Stegostoma tigrinum: one gene and its partners. The protein of the gene in region 1 purifies or fractionates together with the protein of each later gene. This does not show direct contact. Links are inferred from orthologs where the notes say so. Each region holds a gene or a part of one and is shown on either strand. Other genes may lie near its edges.

Region 1 (7,289 bases):
CATGCTAAATTGCCCATAGTGTTCAGGGGTGTGTGGGTTATGGGGGGGGATGGGATGCTCCAAGGGGCAGCATGGACTTGTTGGGCCGAACGGCCTGTTTCCACACTGTCGGGAATCTAATATAATTTAAATTAAATTAAATTAAATTAAATTAAATTAAATTAAATTAAATTAAATTAAAAATTAAGAGTTGTAGAATAATGTGAGGCCATTCAGAATTGAGAAAGAATTTCTTCAGTGGGTGCTGAATGTTCAGAATACTCTGCCCCAGTGTTGTGGAAGCTTAGACAGAAATTGGCACATTTCTGCATATTAATGATATCAAAGGAAACTGGGACAATGCAAGAAAATGGTGTGGAGTAGATTCAGCAATGGTTGATCATCTCACTGTATGGGCTTCGAGGATTGAATGGCCTCCTCCCGTTCCTATTTCTCATGTTCATATCAAGTGACTGAATAGCTAAATTTACTTCTGATAGAGATAGTAGGGACTGGCGACGCTGGAGAATCTGAGATAACACGTTGTGAAGCTGGATGAATACAGCAGGCCAAGCGGCTTCAGAAGAGCAGGAAAACTTGACATTTCGGGTTGGGACCCTTCTGATCTGAAACGTCAAGCTTTCCTGCTCCTTTGATGCCGCTTGGCCTGCTGTGGTCATCCAGCTTCACACTTATCTCTACTTCTAATAGCTTTGGTTGAATGGAATATTGATGGGGCATTAGGAGAGCTCTGTTCCATTTTTAATTTTGTCACAGGAGATTTTATTCTCTGAAATGACATACTGGTCCTTAACTAACATCACAATTGAAAACGGTTGTGCTTTGTATCAAAAATTAGAAACTTTCACTTCAAATGCAAATAATCAATTGCAAAAGGAACAACCCTTGCCAACAGGTATGGCAAGTTTATTAGAAATTACAAGAGGAAATGGGGTGAAGTAAATAAGCAAAAAAGTCACAGTAAGTCATCAACAAAAAGCACAGGTGATCAAGAGTACAGTGGGCAATTCCGTTTGTTCAGTGATTGTGCCGGCAGAAATACACTACTGGACTTAAAACAAGATAAAAAGGTTCAACCACCTGTGATGTATTTAAAGCAAACAGGAATAGGATTAGGCTATTCAACCCAGGTTTCTTCTATCATTCAGCATCATAGCTGGTCTTTTACCGCAATGTTCACATACCTTGATTTGGTAACTTTAATATGCTTAGCAAGAACCTAAAAATATCTAAATCTTAACCTTCCAAAAATCCCACCCATGCCACAGTCACTCCAAATTTTAGCTATCTGAGAACTTCAGCTCATTCAAAATCCTTACTGACCACATCCAACCCCCGACTTTGTTTGCATATAATCCTACCATTACTGATCTATAGACACTTTAGTTAATGCAACACATTCAAAAATCTTATCCTACTGTTGAAAAACCTCATTTTGCCCACTCCTCTAACACTTACCAATCCTGCAACACATCACAGAGGTTTCCAATTTTAGTTTTTTTTTGGGTCCCTTTGATCATCATTAGCAATTCTGCCTTTGACTATTTAACCATTCCCTTACTGCTGCTTCCCAAAACATTCCTGCCTCTTCATATCCTTTAAGCCTCTTAAAATAGTCACCTTAGCCACACTCAGTGAGCCCATCCCACTTTGTAGGCTGACACATAGCCTAGCCAAACAGCTTTAGAAATTCAGAATACATCATAACTTCTACAATAATGTTCAACCTCCCATTTGTCCCAGTCCTGTCAATCTCCAACTTCCCACAAACTTCTGATGTGTAATTGCTACAAATGGTAACTTGGGACATCAGGTTTCCTAATTCTGTTAGTGAAGATTACATCTGCAAAATACCAAGAAAATTCAACACAAGCATTAACTGCAACAATTTTATAGTGTAATGCCTGCACAATTACCATGAAACCAATATACTAATCAACACAAGCAGGAAATCAACAATCTGGAGAGCACTGAAGCAGAAAATCTCAAAGTTTAAATCCATATAACTGCTAATTTGTGTACATTCCAACCAGCCAATACAGAATTATAATTCATGGACAAAAAAGAATTACTAAAAAGATGTTTCTTAAAACAAAACAAAGCTCACAACTTGAGACAGACCATGAAATAATAAAACCAAAAGCAGTCGCTTGGAATTTGGAGACCATATCTGAGGATCAGGAATGCACATGAAGAGGGGAACACAGTTTAGGCATCTAACACTAGTATGCAAAGTTTTTTTAAAAAGGGAACGGTGCTCCAAACTTGCTCATTAGGATGTTGGGAAAGACACAAACAGTTGATTTATCGGGGTAAAGAGCTTTGCTAATGACGGTATGTGATACGTTTACACTCCAAAAGTCTGTAATTTGCAGATTTTAGGATATTCTCAGTTGTAGAGCACGATTTAGCCAATGACAACACTTCAATTATTTTCATTCGGGCAGATAACATTTCTTTAGCATACTCTGGGGAAGGTGGTGTTGTTAACACTTGCTCAGGATTTACCAACTTTCGGAAAATGGATGCATGATGGAAGCTGTCAGAATTTTGGAAAACTATGGGCCCTGAGTTTGGACTGACCAGATGATATGGGACAGATCAGCACTCAAAAACCAACCGGGTTGAGCTGGTGGTCTACTCCAGGGGGAGCAGGGTTCTCACAAGGGTCTCAGACGGCCCACGAGATGGCAGTGGGGCCTGGTCATCCTCACCGCAGCAGACTGCCCTCCTCCAGAGTTTCTCGCCCGGATCCGCCGGGTCCCAACTCCTGGGACAAACCGAGCGCTGGGGGCCGCTGCCCCGTAGCCTCCTCTCCGGCCTCTACTTTTCACTCGAAACTTACCTCCTTTCTTCAAAAAAGCGAGCTTGAAGCCGAATTTCTGAAGAAACGAGTCAATCCATTCGCTTGCGAAGCAGGAAAGAAGAGCCGCTTCCCGCTGCCGACACACGGCAAACACTAAAGAGAATCGGACGAACCGGCGGCGGAACCGACCTTAACCGCTTCACCTTCCCAGAACGCCGCGCGCCACCGGAACTGACGTCCCGCGTCCACCAGAGGCCCCGCCCCCTTACTGCCCTTTAAACCGGTGGCTAGAGGGCGTGTGCGGGAGACTCGACCACGCACTGTCGCCTTGGTAACGTACAGCGTTTCAGTCACTGCAGTTGACACTAGGGTTTATCTGATGCAACACCGATGTTCAGAAATGACCTTGCCATGGGGATGGGCTCGAAACGCTAACTCGGTTCCTCCCTCCACAGACGCTACTCGGTACCTGCTGAGTTTCTCTAACGCTTTCTGCATTTTGTTTCGGATCTCCAACGTCCGCAGTATTTTGCGTTTTTTTTAAAAACTTCGGTACGGAGAAAATATCTCGCGCGTAACTAAAGTGCCACTGATGAGGTGGTTTGCCTCACCTCCGACAAGTGCAAAACTTTACTTACAACAGGGGCATCTGGTCTTTCATATGAGAGCTGGCTGGTGTAACGTCTATTTTTTTTTAAAAAAAGTCCCGAAACAACTGTGGCTGCTGTAAATCAGGAGCCAAAAACAAAGCAGAAATAGTAGGAACTGCCGATGTTGGAGACCCGAAAATCCTCTGATGCTGCTTGGCCTGCTACGTTCACCCAGCTCTACACCTTGTTATCGCCAAAAAAAAACAGGAGTTGCTGGAAAAGCTTAGCAGGTTTGGCAGTACCTGTAAAGAAGAATCAGTTAACGCCTCGGGGCCAGTGATCCCTTCCTCAGACCTGGTTTAACGTCTGACCAGGATAATGAAATGTGAGGCTGGATGAACACAGCAGGCCCAGCAGCATCTCAGGAGCACAAAAGCTGACGTTTCGGGCCTAGACCCTTCATCAGAGCTCTCATCAGCTCTCTGCAGAAGAGTCTAGGCCCAAAACGTCAGCTTTTGTGCTCCTGAGATGCTGCTTGGCCTGCTGTGTTCATCCAGCCTCACATTTCATTATCTTGGATTCTCCAGCATCTGCAGTTCCCATTATCACTAACGTCCAACCTGAATGACATTTCCGACACTACATTGCAACGGTAACCTGCTTTGTGTGCTCGAAGTTTGTGGTGGTGTTTCAATCTATTTTCCAACTGGCTCGATGAGAATGGCAATAGCCCTGACTCCTTATTAGTTCTGGTATCCCCATTACCAGTTACTCACACTGTAAAAGTTAAGACTTAAATAACCACTCTTGTGCAACTAATATTATTCGGAAACAAAATTTGACTTTGGCGACAGTGGCCGACCTTGAATGGGATAGGCGTTTGCGGATGAGTAAGAAGAAAATTGTTTGTTCTCGCAAAACTTGTAATAGAAGTAGTGAAACGATAACATCATTCCAAAACACAATTGTACGGCCTGTAATTCTACTTAAAAAGAACATTACATTTTCATGTCCTGAAATGTTTTGGAAAAATAATGGTACGTATGTTGTCTAAGGTAATTGTTTAACTAATTTTGGATCAAAATCGCACGTTTTTCATTTTGTTGCATTTCCCACGACCCTCGTTTTCACTTACATGGCTGCACATCCATCAGTTGATGTACTTTCTGGATTTATACAAATAAAGGGCAGGTGTTGCTTTATGCCACAATATCTTTTGAATGAAAAACATCAGATCAGCAATGTTTAGTAGGATTTTTTTTCTAGATTTTTAGTATCCTTTCCCTGTCCAGAAGACCACCGTTTTGAGGATTGAGAAAAAGTTTCTAGGGCTGCATTGATAGTCATTTCTATCTTCCAAAAACTGTAATGGCTGTCTTGATGGGGATACCCACCTTAGAGTAAACCACAATATCAAAATTCTGATTAATATTCGCTATGCACAATTTATATTTGTTTTAGAGCAACATTGAGCTTTTCACGTAATTTGATAATACACTGCATTTGGCAAAATTAATGCACCAACTGCCATAAATGCCAGTATAATTCAAAAAATCAATATCAATTACTAAGTTTATATGATGTATGAACCATTATTATGGGTATTTTTTTGTTTTATAGTTCATTGATAATTTCATAGGAGGCTGGACAATAACAATGATCCACTAAAATCCATTAAATGGTGAAAAATCTGCATTAACAGAGATAAATCTCATTGGAGATGAACACCAAGAATATCAGTGATTTGAACACAGTAGATTGTTGATAGCTTCACATTATCTAGATTACATAAAGTCCTGAAATCTGTTACTTGATGCAGAAATCAACACAGATTACAAAAGCTGCAACTGTTATTCAGTTTCCACGTAAGAGTGTGAACAACAACTTGAGCATGTTAAACTTTTTAAGTCTTCCCAAGCCTGTGTCCTCAGTGCAATCCTCTACAGTGGTGAAAATTTAATAAAGTATGCAGGTATTAGGAAAAGCCAAATGGTTTTGATATTACCTGTTTCAGACATATTCATAGTCTCCAACTCAGAGGTGCTGGGATGTACTAATTCCATCACTATTCCTCAATGCTAGGTCATTAAAGTTTGCTTTGGATGGCCAGCAGTATACAAAAACACCTTCTGTATGGTGAATTAGCTACTGAGTTATGAAATCTTGAAACAAGGCAATCTGCAAGTGAGATAAGAAAATTATGGACATTGATAACTAGGTGACAGTCACTGATAGCCATGATCTTTGGAGACTGGCTGGAAGAACTTTGCAAGAGATGAGTTAATTTGTTTGACTGGGTGGGGTAAGGATCATGAACTTAATCAGCATACTTGTCTTCTGCAGCAAACACAACTGGAACCAAAGCACAGCACAAACTATAATCTTACAAAAGGAAAGGTTGCCACTTGTACCTGCCTGGAGGATGATGGCAATGCATTCAGTCATTTCATGATGTATTCTGCTAGTGACCATGCTCCTCATTTGAAATACCTGATGTATACTTGTGGTATGGCTTTAAATCCAGATGTGTTTTTTGAGGAAGGATCACCGGATCCAAAAGGTTAACTGATTTTTTTCTTCACAGATGCTGCCAGACCTGCTGAGCTTTTCCAGCAACTTTCATTTTTGTTCCCGATTTACAACATCCACAGTTCTTTTGGTTTTTAATCAACTATATATTAAATTGGTATGCTGTCAATCTTCCTCTGGAAAGGTCAATTTGGGTACAGCGAGTAGTGCTTCATATCTAGTATTAGTTGTATTTTGACTAACTACAGATAATCTTCCTTTGGAAAGGTTTATTTGGGATTAAAGTGGTTCTAAACTGACACTTAAAATAATGGAAGTTAAAAACAAAACTAAATCATTTTTATATGGCAGACTGTGCAGTCCTATTTTTGAGTGAGAGCCTGGTGAACAATTGATCAGTTAGTGTAGAGGGAAAAGATGAGTGATTGGAATTGGCATTTTACATGCATGAAAATAAGCCTATAATGAAATACTAAATTGATAATATTATGTGTTAAGCAGCAGGAAGCTAAATAGTTCTCTGCTGTAAAATGTCAGTTTCAGTTAACTCCAACAGCGCCCTTGCACAACTAAGCTTTGGCTTCATCTACCTTCACCATCGGTTGTCTTCATTGATTTTAGGTACAAACTGTTATTCAAAGATACTCTACACATGTGATTTAGACCTTTAAATTTGGTGATTCTCTTATGTATTTTAGATATATTGCTGACTAAAACTACATTCTAGTGAAAGTTCTGAGGCATACATAGATTTATACCTTCCTATATAAAATTATGCAGCTTTGCTACTAGATTTGAATGGCAGCTTCTGATCCATACAAATTAGGAAGACTCCAAAATTGTGTTTTCCCTGTCTATTTTAGAAATAGTAGTATGGGTGGCACAATTGACTGAAGTGCTCTGAGTTATTAACTTTTGTGCAAGTGTGTTAAAGGACCACAGAGCCTATTTGTGAAGAATGCACTGAGACTAGGATGCTTTGGTCGAGACTTGCATGCTGCAGAGTTTACATCTTCATTCTAAATATCCCTTCCTAAATGCTAGCTGTTTTCTTTTTTAAAGGAATCCAGATTTTATCATTATCAAACAAAATGAAAGTAAAACAACCCGAGGGGCACAAAAAATTAATTCAAAATTTTGAAGGATCCAGAGGAGAATTCTGAATTAAAATGTATTTGGAAGGGATTAAATACATCTATGTATAAATAACCAAACAGTACCCAACACTTGTCTACCTTATTTTCTTTAAATACAAGGTATTTAATGCTCATCACCTGAACCTATTAGACACGAACAGACATCCCTCTTTTTCTCCAAAATAAATAAATTAATATGCAAACAAAAGCTCATTCATAAGAAAACAT
Region 2 (7,574 bases), on another chromosome or scaffold:
TGTAAAATATTTCAAATGTTCTCAACGGTCACTGCTGAAAAGTTGGTCCACAAGAAGTGATGGAGCTGAACAAAACAATGAGATATCTTATCAGACTTGACAATGCACGGTGTACAAATTGCCTGGGTACTTTAACAAAATAGGATTTCACCAAGTCTGAATGCTCTCAAATACTCAAAACAAACCAGCCCGAACAAAGCTCTTCATAAGCAATATGCATCTATCTACATGCCAGAAAATTGAGTTTGCCAAGCAGCACAAGGTGTCTTAAATAACTACATCTGCTACACACCAAAGCAGTGAAATTAAACACTGCTGCTTTCTTCAAATCTGGACAGTGGAAATTCAATTCAACCTTTTCTCAGACAGGACGGTGTCCACTTGGTCTCAGTTGTACATCGATATTGCAGTCCAGCATCCCATGCAATGTTTACATAGCACACTCTGTAGAAGCCAAGTTGTTTGTGAATGACTATTTCATGACTGATAATGCACTGCATGTATCATTACTATATACTGCCAGGATTGCTACATCACACAATTACCATGCAATATTCTGCTTCATGCAAAATCGACCACCAAGTATAATTAAATACACAATACAGGTGTTAATTATACATCAATTGCTGTTGGGGGGAAGGGAACTTTACAAATTGTACACTCAAATTTCCAGCTTTGGATGAACATGATGCTGAAGGGAAGGCAAAGACGATTTATATTAGTTTAGGGTTGACTTTTAGCAAAAAAAACACAAATATTACTATTTTAGAACTTGAATTACCTAGCAGATGCTGTGATTCTATAGATTATATTTATAATTTAAATTCCTTACAGATCATAGATTTTTCAAAGATTGAAACATGAAAGAAGTTTGCCATTAGGAGCCATTGAAAGTGGCCCACCTTCTCTAAACGCTTACCTTGTATAAAAATATTGCCAACACAAAAAATTCTTCTCTGACTCAAGGACCCACACTCACAAGCAACATACCTCCAGACTGTTTGCCTTCCATGTTGTCAAAGACATTGTCGTTTTCTAAAATAAACTTAATTTCTCCCATGACCCGATATCAAGCTACCATCCAAGCTACAGAGTAAACGCAGCCTTGCACATACAATGCATTAGCCAATTTCATCATTTGCAACCCACAGTTTTTGTCAAAGCCTTCCCACACATTGGGGCTATATGTGCTTGGCTGCAAGCTTTTCTAAACCATTCCCACTGTTTTATCCACCCGGTCCCATAGTTTTTCTGGGAGGTTTAAGAATCCATTACTAGCCCTAAACCTAAAAGTGATCTCCATTTAACCACAGAATTAAGACCACATTTCACACATGCAGTTACTTCATAATCAACTTTAACCCACTCAACTCCTCCAAAACTTTTTGGATGAAATCCAGGATGGGATGAAGCTTCAACTTCAAACTGACCAAACATTCACAGATGCAAGCTATACATGCAACTCCAGCCCTTCCCTGCACTTCTTCAGAGACACAGCCAAGTTACTGTACCCTAAAGGTGCCCTGACCTTATGTTTTAGCTAAATCCCCACTCCAACCTGACGGCCTACTTTTCATCAAAATGCTCTGATATAAAAGATAGTAGGAACTGCAGATACTGAAGAATCTGCAATAACAAGGTGTAGAGCTGGATGAACACAGCAGAGGACCAGGAAGGCTGACGTTTTGGGCCTAGGCCCTTCTTCAGAAAATGATAAAAGCATGTGGCTTATCTGGCCTGACAGTGCTGGAAGTGATTTTCTAATCTAAAACATCGAACAGCAAATGCAAAGCAAAATAAAAGAGAAGGTGCAAAGTTGTTTCTATTCCCACTTCCCCTCCCCCTACAACCTTTTCCTAATTCCTTGAGCTACTCCATTTTGGTTTGCATTATTTCCACCCTCCATTTTCTCAGTGGCTTCCTTCAGCCATCCTGTATCCTCATCCCACACCACCACCCACCCCCGCCTCCAATCCACTCTCCCATTTTAAATCCAGTCTCTCTCTGATAAGAGACTGGGACTCAGGCTGAAGCAGCTCCTCCTCCACCACCCCCCCACCCCCTGGGCACGGTCTAACACGCGCGCCCAGCAGCCGGAGCCCAATGGAGGCGCCGGAAGTGATGGGTTCTGAGGCTCGTTGATGTTTTAGTTTTTTTTTGTGAAATAAAACGGATGAATGAGAAATAAAAAGCCCAGGTTCCCCGCCCCCGGGCGAAGGGAGGCGGGTTCCCCCACCTTTGCTGGAGTGTTGAGGGGCGGGAGCCGGGACCGAAGCGGCCTCAGGTTCCTGTTTGCCACCAGCCCGCGCCTCGCCGTCCCCCAGCTCCATTGTTTCCTCTTCTCCCGCTCTTTGCTGCGCCTCAGCCTGGACTTGGGTTTGCTCTTGGACCCGGGCCGGCTCCGGTACCGCTCCCTCCGCCTCTCCCATCCCGTTTTCCTCCTCCTCCTCGTCGCCCAGGCCGCTCTCGCCTGTTTTGCTCTCGACCTCCTCCTCCTCCTCCTCCTCGTCGTCCATTCCCCCTCCCGCGGCTCGGACCAGGACTTCGGCCTCTCCTTGAGATTCCTCCTCCTCCGCCTGGACTTGGCTCACTACGGCCGCCGGCGGTTCCAGCCCAGCGGCCAGGGAAGCGCCGTTCAGTCCCGGGCCCCGCGCCTGGGCCTCGGCTTTGTCTCCTCCCGCCAACTGCGGCGGCTCCTCCTCCTCCTCCTCCTCGCCGCCTGCCGTCTCGTCTTCCAGCTCCTCCTCGCCGTTCTCGGGGGTCTCCAGCGGCCCGGGCCCCCCGTCTTCCTCCTCCTCCTCCTCTTCCATCATCTCCTCCTCGGCCTCGCTGTCGAGTGCGGCCTGCAGCCGCTCCTGGAGCTCGGCTTTCAGGCCCTGCACACTCAAGCCGCGCCGCTTCAGCTCATCCTTGAGCTCGGGCACCTTCAGTTTCTTCACGTTGATGTCGCTCATGGTGAGGACGATGGCGGGGACTCGGGCTCAGCTCCGGCCTCGGGCTCCGCTTCGATTCGGGCTCCGTCACCCTGCACCGATCGACCCGGCTCCTCGAGGCTCGGCTCGGCTCGGCTCCGCGCCGCGCAGACTCAGTGTGGGGTCAGCACCGGCCTACCGTAAACCCCCGAGAGTGAGCGCCTCTGCTGGAGAAGCAGGGAGATTGCTGACAGAGCTGCTGGCACATTACTAACCCAATGCCACTGACTGCCTATGCATCATCGACAAAGCTGCTGCTGGATTACTGCGGGGGGGGGGGGGGGGGGGAAGATATGGTCATTGTCATTATTGATTAGTGTCTGGTTGGAGATATCAGTTACTGGGCATATCTTATCTGCAAGCATCAATAATGACATTTGAAGCACTCTGTTTGCAGATAGCTGTGCTTGAGAGTCTATCCTTTGCTCCTCTCTTCTTCAACGTGCTTCCCCTCATATCATCCGCAGGAATGGGTTACCTTTCATAGTACACTAATGATAGCCTGTACTCTTATATCTACCATGGGGATTGGTTAGTTCAGTTGGTTAGACAGCTGCTTTATCATGCAACAGCTTGGGTTCAATTCTCGTAAATTACTATGAGGGTCCCACCTTCTCAATCTCGCTCCTCGTCTGAGGTGTCATGAGCTTCAGGTTAAACTCCACCAATCATCTCTAATGAGACAGCAGCATTAGGGTCCTCTGAGGTCATGGCAACTTTACCTTTATATAATTACTACTAAGTCAGATGTTGTTCAACATCAAATAATAGCTTTTTCCTCCCTTATTGGGTAAAGTTATCAGAATTAGAGATGAACTTGTTGAAATGTGAGTTCCTGAGACAGCTTGAAAGGATAGACGCTGACAGATTGTTTCCCCAGCAGGATAATCTAGAATTAGGGATTGCTGTCTCTGGAGAAGGAATGAGACATTTAGGACTGAGATGTGGGGAAATGCCGTTGTTCAGAAGGTTATGAATCTTTGGAATTCTTTAGCCCAGAGTGCTCTGGGTTATCTGCCATCACTATTGGATGTTTTGGTTGTTAAAGGAATCAAAAAGAATGAGAGAGAAAGGAAATCAAAGTCAAAGCTCAGCCAGCCTTATTAAATGATAGAAAAATCTCAGACATCTTATGGATCTCTTAGAGCAAAATAAATAAAAGATAGGAATAAGAGCAGGAATTTCTCATGAGATAGGGATCAAATGTGGTGAAAACTATACGAGTAAAGTGTCGGGAATTGGCATTAAAAGAGATAACTGGAAGGCTGCTAAGTTATAAACTGCATAGACTGATTGACCTACTATTTGTGTCACATTAGTTTGGAAATCTAAAGTAGTAACTATGCATGCTTTGTACATTAGTATGTAGCAACTGTATAAATAAAGGAAATGACACAGTGTTTCTATGCAGAGATCAATGAGTTGAATTTAAGGTAGAATTGCTGCTGAATTTCAAGTTCAAGATGTTAGAAGAATAAAGGAGTGGGTATCATATCTTGCATTCTGATGTTTCCTCTGGCACTAATCAAAATTCATTACTAGCCTTAATAGCAATTAAGGCTGCTACTTGATGATACAGGGAAGCAATCTGGAAAAATAAATTCTGAACTTTAAGATGATTGGGTTTGGTGTTCACTATACATGGTTATAAATCTTAGGATGAGTGTTAGTTCAAAGTTAGATCTGTGGTAATCCTAACCATAGAAATGATACAGGACTGAGTGAGGTCATTTGGAGATTGTGCCTATGCTGGCTGTTTGGTTGAGCTATATTGAACTATTTTTATTACTCTTATTGCCTTGCCTTTTCTTTTTACCTGTAACATTTATCCAATTCTTTTTTGTAAGTCACTGTTGAATTTACTACTTCCACCCTTACAGGTAGTGCATCGGAGATCAAAACAAATCTTTGTCTTTTCTTATTGCTTCTGGTTTGTCTTGTAATTTCCTTGTAGTAAATGCCTAATGATTTCATGTGATTTAGAGATGTAACCTTGTAGAAAATGTAGAAATTGAATTTTAAATGTTAAGCGCTGTGGGGAAAGAATCTCTGGTAAATGTCTAAGGTCTGGCAAATCACATGGTCTTAAGATAATTGCAATTCAAAAGATAACTTGTACTTAAAGGAAAAAGTCAGGGCAAAAGAATGAGAATCGTAAAATGACAGCCAACCTCACTTAGCTAAAAAAACTGGGGTTATGATGTCTCCAATTATTCCAAGAAAAAGAAAAAATGCAGGATGGTGTGGTACAGGGGAATTTGGATATTCTTGTACACTAATCACAAAACATCTCTGCAGATACTGCAAAGAATTCAGAAAGCAAATGGAATATAGGCCTTTAATGCAAAGAGAATGGACTGTAAATTGGCAAGACTTGCTAACCTTTCTTTATAGAAGAGTCAATGACACCTCATGTAAAATAATTTCGCATACTTTTTGGCTTCATTATGTAAGAGGGTTATGCTTCCAGTGAAGGCAGTTCATAGAAGATTCACTGTGTTGATTCCAAAGATGAAGGGGTTCTCTTCTGAGGAATAGCTAAAAAGATAGAGTCTCTACCCACTGGAGTTTATTAGACTGCAAGATGATCTTAATGTATATGATTCTGGCGGGCTAAACGGAGCAAATGCTGAGTATATGTTATCTGCTTATCATGGAATCTAGAACTACATGACATGGTTTTAAAATAATGTGTCCAATTAAGATGGAGATGAAGAGGAATTTCTTCTCTGAGGGCCATTAGTTTTTGGGAGTATTAACTCCAGAGAATAGTTGAGACTGGGTCATTAAATATGCTTAAAATTGAATTAGACAGATTTTTGATTATAAGGCAGTCAACAGTTAGAGGATAAAGGAAGAAAAGTGGAGTTAAGACCACAGTCTTTTCACCATAATCTTGTTGAATGGTGGAAGAGTCTCAAGGGTCAAGTGGTCAATTTCTTATGGTTTGTATGACATTAGAACAGAACAGCTCAGAGCATTTCATCTCCCGACTACTTATTTTATTTTCTTAAAAAATGTCCTTTGTTTACTGCTCCCCCTCAGTAAAAACATTTTCACTGCAGTGTTGTTTGCTGATGAGTTATTTGATCATAATAGAAGCCCAAGCCAGACTTCTTCGTAACAGTCGAACTGCATATATTGTTTAACTCTACGAGATGATAAGGCTACTTAGCAGCACATTTCACCCAGTACAGGATCCAAATTCTTAGGAGAACACTTTTTTAATTCATTCATGGGACCAGGGCATTGCTAACTGGCCAGCATTCATTGCCTGTTCCTAGCTGCCATTGAAAAGTTGGGAGTGATCTTACCTTCTTGAACCACTGGAGTCCATGTGTTGTGGTTTGAGCCACAATGCTATTAGGGAGGAAATTCCAGGATTTTGACCCAGAAAAAGTGAAGGAATGATGACATATTTCAAGTCAGGACGGTAAGTAGTTCAGTGGGGAACTTGGTGGTGGTGTTCCCATGTATCTGTTGTCCTTAACTATCTAGATGGAATTGGTCATGAGTTTGGAAAGTACTGTCTAAGTGCTTTGGTGAATTTCTGCAGTGCGCAATGCTACTCCTAAGCATTGGTGGTGGAGAGAATGAACGTTTGTTGATTAGTGCCAATCAAGCAGCTGTTTTGTCCTGGATGGTGTTAAGCTTCTTCAGTGTTGTTGGACCTGCACCTATCCAGACAAGTGGGGAACATTCCAGCACACTTCCAACTTGTACCTTGTAGATGGTGGACAGGCTTTAGGAAAGCTGGAGATGAGTTACTCATTGTAGTATTGCTAGCCTTAAGCCTGCTCTTGTAGTCAATGTTTATGTGGTGAATTCAGTTGAGTGTCTTGTCAATGGTAACTGAAGGATGTTGATAGGGGTAGATTCAGTGATTGTACTGCTATTGAATGTCAAGACATGGTGGTTAGAATGTCTCCTATTGGTGATGGTCATAGCCTGGCATTTGTCTGGCATGAATGTTACTTGCCACTTGTCAGCACAAGCCTGGATTTTGATCGGGTCTTATTGCATCAGCGTCTGAGGCGTCATGAATGGTGCTGAACATTATGCAATCATTGGAAAATATCCCTAGTTCTGACCTTCTGATGGAGGGAATGTTATTGATAAAGCAACTGAAGATGGCTTGGCCTAGGCCACTACCCTGAGGAACTTCTGCAGAGATGTCCTGGAGCTGAGATGATTAAGTACAACAACCACAAACATCTTCCAGTGTTCCAGGTGTGATTCTCAACCAGTGAAGAGGTTGCCTACTGATACCCATTGATTCCAGTCTTTCGAGGATTCCTTGATGCCACAGTCGGTCGAATGCGGTCCTGGTGTGAAGAGCTGTGACTCTCACCTCCTCTCTGGAATTCAGCTCTTTTGTCCACATTTGAACCAAGGCTGTAGTGAAGTCAGGAGCTGAGTGGCCCTGCTGGAACCCAAACTGGTATCACAGTTGAAGCACAAGTCTTCAGAACTATTGCCAGAATGATGTCAGGGCCCCACGGCCTTTGGAGTGTCCAATGCCTCCAGAGATAATGGTAACTGCAGATGCTGGAGAATCTGAGATAGTGTGGAGCTGGATGACCGCAGCAGGCCAAGCAGCAT
Region 3 (8,158 bases), on another chromosome or scaffold:
AGCAGAGGAGTCAAGAGAAGTCATGATAAGCTAGAGCTGGGTGCCAACCTTCACGTGAAAACATACCCCGCATCTTCAAATGGGGGGTGTTGAGCAGCAGCACGTAGTTGAGAAGTAAGGGATATAAAGATAGATCCTGGGGAGACACCAGAGGTTATGGTGCTGGGACAAGAAGATAGTGCAAGTGATTTGGCATGAGAACAGTCCCACTTAGCAGAATGACAGTGGAGGTGGTATAGCAATTGTACAACCAAATAAAGATGTAGACCAGGGCAATGAGGATGAAGGAGGAAAGTTTACCATCATCACAGCCACTCAGAAACCAATTTGTGACTTTAGTAAGAGCCTTTTGGCACTACTGCATGAACAGAAGCCTGAGTGGAAGGATTCAAGCAAAAGGTTTGGGAATTCAAGAACAGATATGGGAGGTGGCAATGAATCTGGAGGGTTTTGATAAGAAAGGCAGGTTGGAGTTGAGCTGGAAGTTTGCAAGGGCAGTCAAGTCAATTTTTTTAAAAAAGGTTAGGGTGATGGAAAATTTTAAGTAAGAGGGAGTACTATTGAGGGATAGAACTCATCAATTAACATGGAGGCCTTCAGGCGATTAGAGTGGAGTTGGCAAATCAGCAGTAATAAGTTTCACCAATAACAGAAGAGACAGGACAGACATAAGTAATTTTAAGAAACTTCAGGGGATTCCAATATCCAGCATTAGGTTAGGCAGTTTTTCAAGCAGAGTAGTGAAGGACATTTCCCACCAATTTCAGAATAACCTATAGCTGAAGGCTCAAAGGCAATATTTCTTCAACAAACTTTCCTGGAAGAAGCAAAATAACAGGTCTATGATATTCAAAGATGAAGGGAAAGGAACCTTTTGTATTTAAATTTTATTCATGGAGTTAACTAGATGAAAAACAACTTAGAGCTCTTACCACTAGATGCTGCTAAAAATATGGAGATAAGAATTGAGCAACAAAATCTAGGCCGTATGTCAGGCAACTAATCTATCAGAAATAACCCCTCAGTGGGTGTTGATGATCCCATGAACCTGTTGAACAGCAGACACTCTCCTAGCCAACTGTAATCTCAATTAACATTATTGCAATGATAAGATGTTGAGCTGGATGCACAGCAGGCCAAGCAGCACAGGAGCAGCAAGGTTGACGTTTCGGGCCTAGACCCTTCTCTAATATTACTGCATGATTTGTTTTAACAAGTTTCTTGTTAAATGGAAAAAAGACTGGTGGGTTTAAATCTGCCTATACTTCAATAATGACTACAGTACAGAAGTATTTTATTGTCTATGAAGCATAGTGGGACATCAAGATTAGCATGGTTCACATTCTCTAAACATCTTCAGACTAAATAATAAAACAGTCAGAACGGCAATAAGAACAAGACACAGTTCTTTTCTGCTGTGATTTAAGAGGTTGAAGTTAACTTATGACTCAGCAGGCTCTAGCAGAAACCAAACAACTCAAAGGAAGCAAATCATGATCCGTCTCTGCAGGCTTAAATGTAACACTGGGCAATGCCAGTGCCTGCATGACAATATGGTGAATTTCAACCTTTCAAGAAAACTATCCATTTTGTTCTCTACGTGAACGCTGGCTCTGAGATTAACGCAACAAAAAGATAGTTGTTTTACTGATCTTGTCACCTTATTCTTGCATACATATTTCCTTTGTCTATAAATAGATGAAGATCACTTGCAGGATGAGTCAGTCCAAGCCACCCCCTGTATTCCACGAGAATGCCAGCAGTGTTCTTTCCTTGACGTATCCCCATATTTTTAATGGAATTGAAATTGCATAATCAACACAAAATGGACACAAGAACGTATCAAACTGAAACAGGTAACAAATTGATAGCAAGATAAGTTTTAGTACAGAGTACTCATGCAGTTTGCAACCATACCTGCTAAATACATCTCATCTAGCTTGTCCGCAACTTTCTTTGGTAAACCAGCACTTAATAAAGTTTGATAGTGTTCAGATCGAACAACGGCAGTGGAAGTATCCATCGGCTCTTCCGTACCATTTCCATTCATATGCTCGGTAGCCATTTCTTCAGTAGACATCTGTACACGTGTACACATAAATGAAAGCAAAAATAGGCGCGGTAATGTCTTAGAAATTGATAGCCCTAAATTGACAGTCCTAAAATTATTAAAACATTTAGAGCGGAAAAGGACTAGACATGACCAAGCTGGCTAGGAATCATATTGCCAGATCCGTTTGCAGTGATCTCAGCTTTAGTCATCGTTCCCAGCCCAGCCAGCGAGCTTGCATTAGTAATAGACTCCAGTTCAAAGATAAATGACAAATGATAAAACAAGCCTTTTCGCCTCCTCGAATGGAGCACGATAGCGAATACCGGTTCACGAACATATGTCTGGGATGCGGCAACAGCGGGAAGTGCCGGCCAACTAACACTCCGTCCAGTAACTGGGAAAGGGATTCACCGACACCACTCCAAAGTAGTCAGGGCCACGGAGGGGGAAGGTCAGATCGGAGAGACGGGGGAAAATAAAGGAAGTCAACGCGGTCCTGTCTCGTTCCAGCTTTCCCCTGCCATCCCGCAGCCATGTGACATAGACAAAGGCTACAGTCCGGCCTCGAATCCCGGAGCTAAAAACTCCACCCCTTCGATTTACGGAGTACACACTCTGCTCATTCAGTACAGCAGAGGTCTCAGTGTCCAGGCCCCGGCCCACGCCTACCCAGAGTGAGGCTCCGGGTCTGCCTGCGGCCCATGGATTCGCTGACACTGCTCGATTTTCGGGCACGGTACCAGCCCCCTCCCACCCCGAGTTACAACCAGGGACAACACCAACTCACATGCTGCTCTATGCCAGCAAAGTCAAGTAGATGTGATGCCGGCTGATACTCCCCAAATCCCTCCCTGTCAGTTGAATTACTCTACCTTCCCCTTTCCGTTCTCTCACACACCGACCTACAAAATGGCGGCACGGCACACACCTCCCAAAGCCCCCAAGTTCCACTCACGCGTTCTCATGGTGGGGTCTCCCGACCTGCCCCGCAAGGACATCATCAATGGTGGGCGCGGCCCCAACGTCAGGTCCCGCTCCCTCATCTTTTCCATTGGGTACAAACAGCTGGTGACCACGCCCCCAAAGATGAATGACAGGGCTCCAAGGAATGCATGATCACGGAGTGGAAAAGCCCCGGCTCATATCGAGCTGCAAACCGTTGAATCTTTTCTTCGTAAAGGATAAAGCCAGTGCCATTCCTATTTAATCTTTTAGATCAGATATCAATGCAGAGATTTTGTGAGGCACCCTCGCGAAGACCAATCATAGGGTTGTACGACTATAGAATGAAACCATCCGGCCCATAAGATCGTATGATTTCGGAGCAGAATTAGATCATTCAGCTCATCGAGTTTGCTCCGTCATTCGATCATGCTGATATGTTTCTTAAACTCATTCTCCAGCTTTCTCCTTGTAAACCTTGATCCCTATTCTAATCAAGAACCAATGTGTATCTTAAATTGACTCATTGATAGGACCCAACAGCCTTCTGCATCAATGAGTTTCACAGATTCACCACCCTGGGCAGAATAAATTCTTCCTCATCTCAGGTCTAAAAGGTTGTCCATTCATTCTGAGGCTTTGCCCTTGGGTCCCAGTCTCTCCAACTAATACAAACATCTTCTCCACATCCACTCGATCGAGGTATCTCAGTATCCTGTAAGTTTCAATCAGATTCCCCCTCATCCTATTTGCATGTTTTCCCTCATCTCTTTGTTTCCTTTCCAAGAGGTCACCTGGGTGCCAAATCCTCTAGGAGCAGTCTGGAAGGCAAAGCCGGAGTCTGTTTAAGTGCATAACAGTAAACTTACTGGTGCAGAGAATACTGCAAAACTAAAAAAACTAATTAATTTTAAACAATTAACTAGGTAGAGGTGGCAGGTCAGATCATGTGTTGCAGCTGCATGATGTGAGAAGAACTAGCTGATCCCATCGAGAACAGCAGTGACCACATCTGCAGCAAGTATTGACTGTTTGACCTCTGGCTCAAAATTGATGAGCTAGACTCTGAACTCCAAACACTGCGGCACATCCGGGAGGGGGGGGCGAGATACTTGGATGCTCTGTTCCAGGAGGCAGTCACACCTAGTAGATTAACTAATGTTAATTCAATTGGCAGGCAGGGACAGCAGTGTGTGACTGCGAGTGAGGAAGGTAGAGGGACCCTGCCGAGAGGAACACAGGCACAACAACCTCTGACATTGTCCCACAGGTATGAGGCACTTGCACCCGTGGATGAGGCAACTGACCAAGACTCCATGGTCCAGGAGGCCATTCAAGAGGGGGGAGCTGAGAGACAGATCATAGTTGTAGGGGATTCCATCATTGGGGGAAAGACAGTATCCTCAGTAAACAGGATAGAGAATCCTGCATGGTGTATTGCCTGCATAGTATCAGGGTGTGAGACATCTCCAACCAGCTTGAAAGGATACTAGAGAGGGAGGGGAAGGATCTAGTTGTTGTGGTCCACATCGGTACCAACAACATAGGCCGGATGAGGTGAAAAGACCTGTTTAGGAATTATGAAAAGCTAGGAACAAAATTTTAAAAAAAGGTCTTCAAGGGTCATGCTCTCTGGATTGCTGCTCGAGCCACGTGCAAATTGACATAGGGAGGTGAGGATCAGGGAAGTGTACACGTGGGGCACTGGCATCAGTTCTGGAACAGGAGGGATCTACACCGCTGGGATGGATTCCGCCTGAACAGGGCCGGGTCCAGTGTTCTAGCGAAAAGGGTAAATAGGGTGGTCAATAAACTAGTAAGCGGGGAGGGAGAAGGGAGGAGTAAGCGTACAGGGAGTATAACAATTAATGCAAGGCAAAACAGCAGGTTAGCGGGTGACAAGGAAGCTTCAACTCCATTGAAAATTAGGAAAAAAGGTAATGGGAAGGAGAACTCAACAGCTGTTAGTAATGGAGGTGATTGGACTGAGAAAGAAGGTGCAAAAGCTGGCATAAGGGCACTTTATCTGAATGCTTGGGGTATTCGAAACAAAGTGGATGAGTTGAGGGCACAAATCATGGCAAATAGGTATGATTTAGTGGCCATTACAGAGACATGGTTGCAGGATGGTCATGACTGCGAGTTAAATATCCAGGGGTATCAAACTGTTCGGAAGGACAGACAGGAAGGTAAGGGAGGCGGTGTTTCTCTGATTTTTAAGGATTATATCACGGTGGTAGAGAGAGATGATATAGGTTCTCCTGAACAAGAAGTTGAATCGATTCAGCTGGAAATTAGGAATAGCAGGGAGAAGAAGTCACTGATAGGTGTGATCTATAGGCCTCCAAATAATGACATCATTGTGGTACAGGCAATAAACATAGAAATAGCTAATGCATGTAAAAATGGTACAGCAATCATCATGGGGGATTTTAATCTACATATCGATTAGCCAAACCAGGTCGGTCATGGCAGCCTTGACGAGGGATTCATAGAATGCATCCCTTGAACAATACGTAATGGAACCTACAAAGGAGCAAGCTATCCTAGATCTAGTCCTGTGTAATGAGACAGGAACAATTAATGATCTCAAAGTTAGGGATCCTCTCAGAACGAGCGATCATAGTATGGTCAAATTTAAAATACAGATGGAGCATGAAGCATAAATCCAGTACCAATGTTCTGTGCTTAAACAAAGGAGACTATGATGGGATGAGGGAGGAGTTAGCTAAGGTAGAATGGGTGCAAAAACTTTATGGTGTGTCATTTCAGGAACAGTGGAGGACTTCCAAAACAATTTTTCACAGTGCTCAGCGGAAGTATATTCCAATGATAAGGAAGAACTGTAGGAAAAGAAATAGTCAGCCATGGATGTCTAAGGAAATAAAGGAAAGTATCATATTTTTTAAAAATGCATACAAAAAAAAGCAAAGATTAGTGGGAAACTGGTAGACTGGGAAATCTTTAAAAGGCTATCAGAAAACCAGAAAAAAGTTAAAGAAAAGTAAGATAGATTATGAGAGTAAATTAGCTCAAAAAATATAAAATCAGGCAGCAGAGTTTTCTATAAATATGTAAATTGGAAAAAAGTGACAAGGTAAACATTGGTCCTTAAGAGGATGAGAAGGCCAATTTAATAACTGGGAATGAGGAAATAGCCAAGGCATTAAACAGTTACTTTGTGTCGGTCTGCACAGTGGAAGACACAAATAACATACCAAAAACTGATCGCAAGAAGGTTATAGCAGGTGAGGACATAGAAACTATCATTATCACTAAATAGGCAGTGCTGGGCAAGATAATAGGGCTAAAGGTAGACAAGTCTTCTGGCCCTGATGAAATGCATCCTAGGGTACAAAAAGAGGTGATGGGGAAAATAGCAAATGCACTAGTAACTATGTTCCAAAATTCACTGGACTCTGGGGTTGTTCCCACAGATTGGAAAACAGCCAATGTGACGCCACTGTTTAAAAAAGGAAGTAGACAAAAGACGAGTAACTATAGGCCAGTTAATTTAATTTCGGTAGTGGGGAAAATGCTTGAATCCATCATTAAGGAAGAAATAGCAAGACATCTAGATAGAAATTCTCCCAGTGGGAATACCTAGCATGGGTTCACGAAGGGTAGGTCATGTTCAACTGATTTGGTGGAATTCTTTGACGACATTACTTGCATGGATGGGAGTTTGCTCGCTGAGCTGGAAGGTTAGTTTTCAGACATTTCGTCACCTTTTTTTATTTGAAAAAATGTACTTTATTCATAAGATGTACAAAAAATAAAACATATTTATACACCTACTCAGTCATGCAAGCTGCTCCGGGTTACCCAGGGGGTACACACATCAACTAAAGGAAAAAAACAAACAAAGAAGAAAAAAAAACCAAAAAAAACAAACAAAGAAGAAAAAAAAACAAAGAAAAGAAAAACACCCCGGCAGTCGTCACCCTGCACAGTCCCAGTTGGCCCCCTGACCAGTTGGGGAAGGCGCCAGCTGGGCCCAGTTACCAGATAGAGCCCTTTTTTCTATTCTGGACGAGGGGTTTCATACCGTGGTCTTTCCCCACCGCGCCTTGGCGGCGGCTGCCCCAAGCTTTAGTGCGTCCTTCAGCACGTAGTCCTGGACCTTGGGAGTGCGCCAGTCTGTAACATTCGGTCGGGGTCAGTTTTTTCAGCTGGCAGACCAGCAAGTTGCGGGCAGACCAAAGAGCGTCTTTCACCGCATTGATGGTCCTCCAGGCGCAGTTGATGTTGGTCTCAGTGTGCGTCCCAGGAAACAGCCCGTAGAGCACGGAGTCCCGCGTCACGGAGCTGCTCGGGACGAACCTCGACAAATACCACTGCATCACCCTCCAGACCTCCTGTGCACAGGCACACTCCAGAAGGAGGTGATCGACAGTCTTGTCCCCCCAGCAGCCGCCTCGAGGGCAGCGTGCGGTGGCGCAGAGATTCCGGGCATGCATAAAGGATCTCACTGGCAGCGCCCCTCTCACTACCAGCCAAGCAATGTCCTTGTGCGTGTTTGAAAGTTCTGGCGATGAGGCATTCTGCCAAACGACTTTGGCAGTCTGCGTGGGGAACCACACGACGGGATCCACCCTCTCCTTTTCCCGAAGGGTCTCGAGGATACTACGGCCTTGTGGTCAAAGGTGTTTCCTTTCAAAAATTTCTCCACGAAGGACAGGTGGTACGGAACGGTCCAACTACTCGGAGCGTTCCGCGGCAACGAGGCCAGGCCCATCCTTCGCAACACCGAGGACAGGTAGAACCTCAGTAAGTAGTGACACTTGGTGTTTGCGTACTGAGGATCTACACACAGCTTGATGCAGCCACACACAAAGGTAGCCGTCAGGGCGAGGGTGGCGTTCGGTACGCCCTTTCCCCCATTTACCAGGTCTTTGTACATGGTTTCCCTGCAGACTCGGTCCATCCTCGACCCCCAAATGAAGTGGAAGATGGCCCGGGTGACCGCAGCGGCGCAGGTCCAGGGAATAGGCCAGGCCTGCGCCACATACAACAGTACCGAGAGCCCCTCGCACCCGACAACAAGGTTCTTACCCGCGATGGACAGGGACCGGAGCGTCCACCTGCCCAGCTTCTGCTTCAGTTTGGTGATACGCTCCTCCCAAGTCTTAGTGCAAGCCCCAGCTCCACCAAACCAAACAC
Region 4 (8,375 bases), on another chromosome or scaffold:
TGAGAGTTTAACAGTTTTGACAAAAATCTGTAGCTTAGGTTGTGGGTGAGGTTGTTGACTTGCTCGCTGAGCTGGCCTGTTCACGTTCAGACGTTTCGTTACCATGCTAAGTGACGTCAGTGGAGCCTCCGATGAAACAATGTTATTCTACTCCGCTTGGAATTTATATGGTTGGTCTGTTACGCTAAGTAGTGTTATTTCCTGTTTTGATCTGTATGGGTTTGTATATGGGGTTCAATTCTATAGGTTTGTCGATTGCATTGCAGGTGACAATCATGCCTCTAGGAATGCCTGTGCGTATCTAGGATTGGCTTGGGCTATTCTCCTTACCTTGCCCCAGCAAGACTGCCTTTTAGTAGCTCAGCAGCACCACCTGTAGGAATGTAACAATCAACACTGCTTGCTAGCTTGCATCTATCCTGGACCCACTGGCGAACACACCCGCATCTTTTACACTGAAGAAACAGATACTGTGTAGAATTGGTGTTCTGTGCGCTTCGTAACATAGTTGAGAATTGACTATATTTCTTTTAATAGATCTCACTCTTAAAAGTAAGGTGTATATAATGTATCATTTGACCTATCTCATTCATTACAATCACAAATCATACTCTAGATTAAACGTAAAATTGAGATTGTGAATCATTACTTCCACCATGAGCATGTGGGTGAATACACACTGTAGAACTAAACATCAAGTCGGATGGAGGCAATTTATATAGATCATGGTTGATCAGCAACATGACCACCATCTATGCACCATGGTTCCAAAGACGGCCTTCATATCCTCCGATGGCACTGAGCATGGTGACGAAACGTCTGAACGAGAACCAAAATCTGAACTCCATTTTAAAATTTGTAATTGACCTTAACCTAATAATTTGTCTGGCCTTCCATACAAGGATGTAGAATAAGGTAGGTACACTATGCAGGCTCCAAGTCCACTACAACATTAATTATGGCTGATCTGCTTCTATTCCGAATTCCACATTCCTATCTACGCCCAATTATCTTTGATAAAAAAGACAACCTGTGAGAAGTGATTTCAATCAGCTTCCCTGAATAGCCTAGCTGTTATAGATTCTTGTACAGCAAACTATTGGGGATTGAAGACAGCCAAGTCCACAGGGCCTGAGATAACAAGGTGTAGAGCTGGATGAACAGAGCAGCCTTCCTGCTCATCTGATGCTGCTTGGCCTGCTGTGTTCATCCAGCTCTACACCTTGTTATCTCAGATTCTCCAGCATCTGCAGTTCCTACTATATCCTCCACAGGGACTGATGGCCTATATCCTAAGGTCTTAAATGAAGTGGCAGCAGAAACAGTGGATCCATTGTTTATAATATTCCAAAATTCCCTGAATGCAGGAAAGGTTCCAGTGGGTTGTAAAATGCAAATATAATGCCCTTGTTTGAAAAGGGAGACAGGCAGAAAGTAGGAAACTATAAACCAGTTGATTAAACATGTGCCATTTGGAACTGGTTACAATCCATTCATTAATAACAGGATATTTTAAAAATGAATAACATTTGGGACGTCAAAATGCACTCAAGAGTCAGCATGATTTTATTTAGCGTAAATTCTGTTTGACTAATTTGCTAGAGTTCTTTGTTGATGTAACAAGCAAGATAGATAATAGGAATTTATAAGTGTAGAATATCTGGGACTTCCAGAAGGCATTGATAAGGCGCTGCACAAAAGGTTAATCCATGAGATAGGATCACATGAGGCTGAGTAATTTATTAGCTTGGATAGAGGATTGGCTAACCAACATAGCATACGGTGCTGAGGAACAGTCACTGACCCAAAATGGTAATTCTGATTTCTCTTCATAGATGTTGCCAGACCTGCTAAGTTTTTCCTGCAATCTCTATTTTTGTTTCTGATTTACAGTACCTGCAGTTTTTCCACATTTTATTCAGAGGATACATCAGACTTTTTCTGATTTGCAGATGTCTCTAGTGGTATGCACAGATTTTGATCCTTAGGACACAACTATTTACAATCTATATTTGTGACTTAGGTGCAGGGAAACAAAGTACTAGAATGAAATTTGTAGATAACACTAAAAGTGGGAAATATGTTGCAATGAAGTAATAAGAATTTTACAAGTGGAAATCGATAGGTTACATTATGGGTCAAAATTAAGCAGATGAAGTTTAACATGGATAAAAAAGATTACCTATTTTGATTAAAGAAATAGGAAAGCAATTTATCTAAACAGAGAGAGAAACTTCAGAGTGCAGAGGGATCCAAGTGTACTTCTGCAAGAATCCGAGAAAATGAAGATACATGTACCACTGGCGATAAGAAAGGCAAATGGAATTTTGACTTTTGTTACTAAGGAAGTAGAAGAAAAAGTAAAATGTTTGCTGCAACTGTACAAGGTTAGCGAGATAGCACCTGGAGTATTGTATTCAATTTTGGTCCTTTTACATGAGGAGTGATGTAGTTGCATTGGAGGCAGTTCAGAAGAGGTTCACTACATCAATTCTGGGATGAAGTGTTTGTACTATGAAGACAACTTCATCTAAAGTCCAGAGTATATGCCCATAGAACTGCCTACTCACCTCATCTGTCAACTACTGATGTTTTCAAAAAAACTGAGAACATCTTAGTTGGACCTAAGAAAGACAGATCGCTATTTTCTCACTGTTCAGAAAAGGAAAGTGTGGATGAGGAGAAAGAGATTTATGGATGTAAGGATTGGAATGAGGTCAGCCAGCTGGACTGCATGCTTTCCTGGAACTTCCCTGTTTCCTCGCTGGACTTTTGAACACCTTTGAAAATGAGATGGTCACATTGATTGCTTTCCACCATACTCCAAATCTCTTTAAAAATTTCTCAATTTTTGGATGTCATCAGACTCATGTTCACAGTTTCCATTTCCTTTTACCACCTCTTTGGTCTTTCTGTAGATGATAGTCAGCCAGTAAGAGGTAATTGTAAGAAAAGAATACCAGCTTGATGTTAGTGGATCTGGCCATCCATGTGACACAAATGGAAAGTTTATCCTGCAATGGACAGATTCATCTGGCCTTGACCAGATGTATCCAAGCTGCATTCCATCTCCAAGGTTGAAGATGTGCTGCATAAGGCAGCATCTTTTACTGTTTCCATTAGTAGCATGGAGGTGGCTTCAGGACTTTTACATTCAAATAGGATGCCACTTGTTCTACATTGAACCAAGTGCAATGGAGAATCATCCTGAAAAGATATATAGTAATGATTCCAAACACTTCCACATTATGCACACATGTAAATTAAGGATTCACAAATGGCACACCCACAACATACGTACCTGGGGAGAATACAGGATAGGAATCCTTCAATTCGCTGCCCATCTTCTCACTAAGTATTTGTTCTACATTACAATAATTCTAAATTTCAAAAAGTACTTAGTTAATTATAAGGCATTTTGGGGCATTCTGAAGTAATGAAAGAGAATTAAAGCGTGCATATTATGTAGTACTATTCACAAACTTAATGTTCTACAAATTAAATTACCACTTGGAGAGTGGTTGCCATTGTAACATAGTAAAGTTAATAAATAAATTGAATTGTTTCTTTCAGATTTCCATCCTTAATGTAACATACAAAAGCAGTGATGTGATATGAATATCAGAAATATTATTTTTGAAAAATCCCTGAAAAATTATGTATTACTTTGAGTGAGCTCCAACTTTAGCTAGATTGAATTTAAATACAACTTGCCTGAATCTTTGCTTCTGATACATACAGCCTCTCAGCATTTTTAAAGCTATATTAAAAAAAAACCCCTCTACCAAGGATCATCCAAGGAATATTCAATATAATGCACTATTGAAACGATCTGCACAACTGTTGCCAGACAAAACTACTTTTTTGTTTTCACCAAACCCATTATATATTGCTACATCAAGGCTGATAATGAGATCAACATATAAAAACCAAAAGACCTGCGGATGCTGTAAGTCAGGAACAAAACCAGAAGCTGCTGGAAAAGCTCAGTTCTCAGTCCTCAGAACACCGGACCCGAAACGTTAAACTTTGTTTTTGTTCAATCAATATACGTGTTTAATATGCTGTAGTTACACAGTCTTTCTACTATGTGTCTTTACACCCAGTCTGCCACAATTTTCAAGAATGTATCGGCTTTTCGTTAAATCACCCTGAATTGCTGTGGTTGTATTTTCAATGCCAACGGGTACTCTTAACAGCATTCCACCGAAATGGTGATCGCACCGAAGATAAAATGCAGTGATAATGGGAACTGCAGATGCTGGAGAATCCAAGATAACAAAGTGTGGAGCTGGATGAACACAGCAGGCCAAGCAGCATCTCAGGAGCACAAAAGCTGACGTTTCGGGCTCTCTGATGAAGGAAAAATGCACATGCATTATGGGTTTACATCAACAATTATCACTAAATACAGTTAGAGATTTATAAACTAATAAGAAGCTACAGATACAAAAAGTTTTAATAAAGTAAATGAAGTACGAAAACTCCCCTCAAATATCTGTATGAGTGGTCTTAAAACACTTGGGTCCCCCAAAATCTTAAGTTAAACAAAACGCTCAGGTTGGCATCAGTTATATACAACGATCTCCTGGAAGGAACATGGATAATTGCCCAAACTGAACGTGCAGTTCAGAAAGCCTAATACTTATCAACTTTGAAACGTGTCAAGAAATCATTGGTTTACAGATTAGAGATGGATGTTAGGGACTATTATGTCTCGGATAGCAATTCCAAACGTTAAAAATAAAGGGATAACAACTTTGAATGAATAGCAACCTCAGGCTACCTGCAGAGCCAAGTAAAACATTTAAAAGCTCACGCCTAATTTCAATTTACTAAAAGAGATGAAACTGAATGGCGAAGAAACTCAACAAACGTGAACTTCGGGCGATAGAAGTAAAGTTAACCTTCGAAGTCCGGTAAGGCTGACTCTTTGTTTCAGAACTGTGTTGGCTTACATTCATTTAAAAAAATACTTTTCGACAATATGTCGAAGAAAGTTGAGGCAATTTCAGTGATATTTCTATCTGGTTGTCAACACGTGACCATACTAATACTTACTTCAGTAAGATTGAACCGTATCACTCCTAACTTCCAAATAGCCGGGTTTAAACAATTTGATTGACAAACGAACCAGGTTTTCGTGAATCGCCTCTTTCACGACTGGAAGGAAACGCCGTAACAAGATTTCATCGTAGGCCGCTACCCTTTGGGCCAATAGGAATTGTCGATGACCGCAAAGTGTATAACTGACGTTCGTCGTAACCAATGCACTTGAAGAAGTCGTGGAGGCGCGGGTGTGATGGATAAACAGATTATCCAATGGAAGAGGAGGGGGTGGTGCTTCGCTTGCTGGCGGCGCGCGGGGTTGACTTTGTTTGATTTTAACGGATTTTTTTTCCGCCTCTGCGCTTGGCCTGGGCTTTTCCCCTTTCTCAGCTCGAGTCCCGGAAAGACATCAGTGCTGCCGGCACTCTCACCCCGTACCGAGTACGGGGCTCAGACAGAGTGAGTGTGAACTTGTCGAATAAGAAAAATAATATGAGAACTCGACGTGAACTGGGAAACAGGCCCAGGCCATGCGGCACAGGGGCCTATGCTTCTCGAAGTTAGGCCTCGGCTTTGGAGAGATTGGTCACCCCCAGACAGAGGCACTGTTGGCTAGAAGGGTGAAGAGATGGAGTGATGGACGGAAGACCGGGAGTTTTATTATGCCTATTATGAGGAAAATGCGATGGAGACTAGTGGGCTTTCTAGTGGTAGGGAAAAGGAAATCCTAACTCGAGATCGGGGATGTAAACCGGTGGTGTAGGCCCTTTTAAAAAAGAGCGACGGTTGTAAGATGGAAACAGAAGAGGAGGGTGGAGGTCCCCGGTGGATGGGATTTTAGTGTCCTGGCGGCTTCAGCCCACAGAGGGAAAAGGGTGGATGGTGGAATGGGGCCAATGCATTTGTTAGAACAATGCGCTTTGCGCCCGGGCTTTTGTACCCAACAACCTCCAATCACTTCATTGAACAAAGCCCCTTTAAGCACGTATTAATAGCAAAAATAAGTCTTTCAACCGAACGGAAATGTTATATTTATGACCTCAATGTTAGCAATATCTTCTCAAAAACGCTTATTAAACATTTGCCTAAAACCCACACGTCCATTACATAAACTTAAATTTCCAAATGACTGACTTCCCTCTTCGTCCCAGAAATTTTTTTTCAGCAGTTCTTTATTCACCAAATTTCGGGTAAATTATCAATTGATTGCAAATGCGTTGCACACGAATGAATATGTAGATACGGTTGACTTACCAAGTGAAGGTAGTTAAAGCATGCTATGTCTGTTTCTGAGATAACAAGGTGCAGAGCTGGATGAACACAGCAGGCCAAGCAGCATCAGAGGAGCAGGAAGGCTGACGTTTCGGGCCTAGTCCCTTCTTCAGAAATTTCTAGGCCCGAAACCTCAGCCTTCCTGCTCCTCTGATGCTGCTTGGCCTGCTGTGTTTATCCAGCTCTCCACCTTGTTCTCCAGCATCTGCAGTTCCTACTATCTCTATGCCTGTTTCTTGTTCTTTTTAAGGTTTCATCTTTATTTGCAGCTACCCACATTAGCAAATCTGAATGACAATAACACAGTTAATCACATTTGTTCTTCCCAGGAGTCCGTTTTTTTTAATATATAGGGCTGCTTTGAAATGTTGAAGATTCACCAGCTGTATGACACCACTCTTTCCATTGTCTAGCTCAGATTGCCTGATTCAATAATATCATTGATCTAGATTCGTGTTTACTTCGACTCGGATCCATTGGGTTCAACTCATTCATGCCAGCGAGATTGCCTAAACTGATCTAGTCCCATTTGCCAGCATTTAGCCCATATCGCTCTAAGCCTTTCATATTCATGTACCCATCTGGATGCCTTTAAAATACTGTGATTGTACCAGCCTCCACCACTTCTTCTGGCACCTCATCCCATACATGTACCACCCTTTGCATGAAAAAACTGTCCCTCAGGTCCCTTTTATATCTTTCCCCTCCTATCTTAAACCTATGCTGTCTGGTTTTGGACTCCATTTTGCAGTTTCCTAAAAACTGAAAGCATCAAAGATATTAAAGTTGGTGTTTGTAACTCAGCGCATTTCTAAACAACTTCTCCAGAGGATGATAATACAAAACAATTATTATAAAGAACAATGTGTTCAACAAGAGCTTTTTTCAAAATATAACAAGGTTCTATAAACTGAAATGGCAGTATTGGCTAAAGTAGTGGTTGAGTGTAGAATTCAAAATACAGTTGTTGGAAAAGCTCAGAGATAATGGGAACTGCAGATGCTGGAGAATCCAAGATAACAGTGTGAAGCTGGATGAGCACAGCAGGCCAAGCAGCACCTCAGCACCACAAAAGCTGACGTTTCAGGCCTAGATTGAAACGTCAGCTTTTGTGCTCTGAGGTGCTGCTTGCCCTGCTGTGTTCATCCAGCTTCACACTTTATGTTGGAATAGCTCAGCAGGTCTGGCAGCATCTGTGAAGGAAAAAATCAGACTTAACATTTCTGATCTAGTGACCCTTCTCAGAACGCTGTAGAATGTTGATCAATCGCTGGTGCGCCTTACTGAATTGCTTAATATTTGTTTTATTTAATTTTATTTCTGGCAAAGACAATGCATGGCAATGCTTGTGATTAAATAACATACCACACAGCACCAAGACATTTTTGCGAGGGGTCTTGAGTAAAACCATGTTGGAGTGGTAAAGTATAATTTCTGATTGTGGGCCTACTCTTTGATGCATTTGGAGGCTTTTAAATTATGTAGATTATTAATACCAAAGTTGGTTGTATTTTTAAAGGCGTGGAGAGTGCAATCAATTTGCACTTGTACAGTTCCACCTTGAAAATATTAAAGATGATTTATGGGGCAGAAAGAAGTAGTACAATAATATAAAGAGAATGTAGCATCAATGCTAAGAGTTTGGAGTGTGTCAATAAGTGGTAATGATTAAAATAAAATGGAGTATCAGGACAAAGATTTGAAGTGCAGTCTGTTGTAAACATGTTACCATTCTAGATCAGAGAAGGCAGTAGTGGTATGTGTTTGGAGTCCAGGGACGTTCAGGTGATATTTGATCGTGTTTCGCTATTGAAGTGTGGTGTAAGTGTGAGCTTCCAAGAACGGTATTAGAGTGTTTTTCACTTGAATAGTACATAATCAATGGGTTATTACATAAGGTAGCAATTTGCAGCTCCTGTCTGCTCTGGCTGTCCAAATGAGCATGCAGTTGGTGCTGTTATGCTGCTTTTTTTTCCCATAATCCTGCATATTGATCTTTTTCGAACGTTTAATTAAAGTTGCCTCCAGCATATTCTCTGACAGTGTGTTCCAGA

What was found.
Region 2: the proteins of stau1 (region 1) and hnrnpua purify together in Homo sapiens (affinity purification with mass spectrometry; 4 studies listed by BioGRID and IntAct, with this or other methods). This does not show direct contact. The link is inferred for Stegostoma tigrinum from reciprocal best matches to the Homo sapiens genes STAU1 and HNRNPU.
Region 3: the proteins of stau1 (region 1) and heterogeneous nuclear ribonucleoprotein Q purify together in Homo sapiens (affinity purification with mass spectrometry; 3 studies listed by BioGRID, with this or other methods). This does not show direct contact. The link is inferred for Stegostoma tigrinum from reciprocal best matches to the Homo sapiens genes STAU1 and SYNCRIP.
Region 4: the proteins of stau1 (region 1) and ELAV-like protein 1 purify together in Homo sapiens (affinity purification with mass spectrometry; 3 studies listed by BioGRID, with this or other methods). This does not show direct contact. The link is inferred for Stegostoma tigrinum from reciprocal best matches to the Homo sapiens genes STAU1 and ELAVL1.

What each region holds. Positions count from the first base shown.
Region 1 is NC_081372.1:32,631,236-32,638,524, forward strand, and holds the start of stau1 (double-stranded RNA-binding protein Staufen homolog 1), read right to left. Parts: upstream 3,034-7,289; 5' UTR 2,846-3,033; intron 1-2,845. UniProt on the Homo sapiens protein: Binds double-stranded RNA (regardless of the sequence) and tubulin.
Region 2 is NC_081362.1:86,362,102-86,369,675, reverse strand, and holds the start of hnrnpua (heterogeneous nuclear ribonucleoprotein U), read right to left. Parts: upstream 3,109-7,574; 5' UTR 2,955-3,108; coding exon 2,237-2,954; intron 1-2,236. UniProt on the Homo sapiens protein: DNA- and RNA-binding protein involved in several cellular processes such as nuclear chromatin organization, telomere-length regulation, transcription, mRNA alternative splicing and stability, Xist-mediated transcriptional silencing and mitotic cell progression.
Region 3 is NC_081362.1:29,837,996-29,846,153, forward strand, and holds the start of heterogeneous nuclear ribonucleoprotein Q, read right to left. Parts: upstream 3,124-8,158; 5' UTR 3,009-3,123; exon of another isoform or gene 2,841-3,008; intron 2,081-2,840; coding exon 1,918-2,080; intron 1-1,917. UniProt on the Homo sapiens protein: Heterogenous nuclear ribonucleoprotein (hnRNP) implicated in mRNA processing mechanisms. Component of the CRD-mediated complex that promotes MYC mRNA stability.
Region 4 is NC_081383.1:36,221,462-36,229,836, reverse strand, and holds the start of ELAV-like protein 1, read left to right. Parts: upstream 1-5,349; 5' UTR 5,350-5,508; intron 5,509-8,375. UniProt on the Homo sapiens protein: RNA-binding protein that binds to the 3'-UTR region of mRNAs and increases their stability.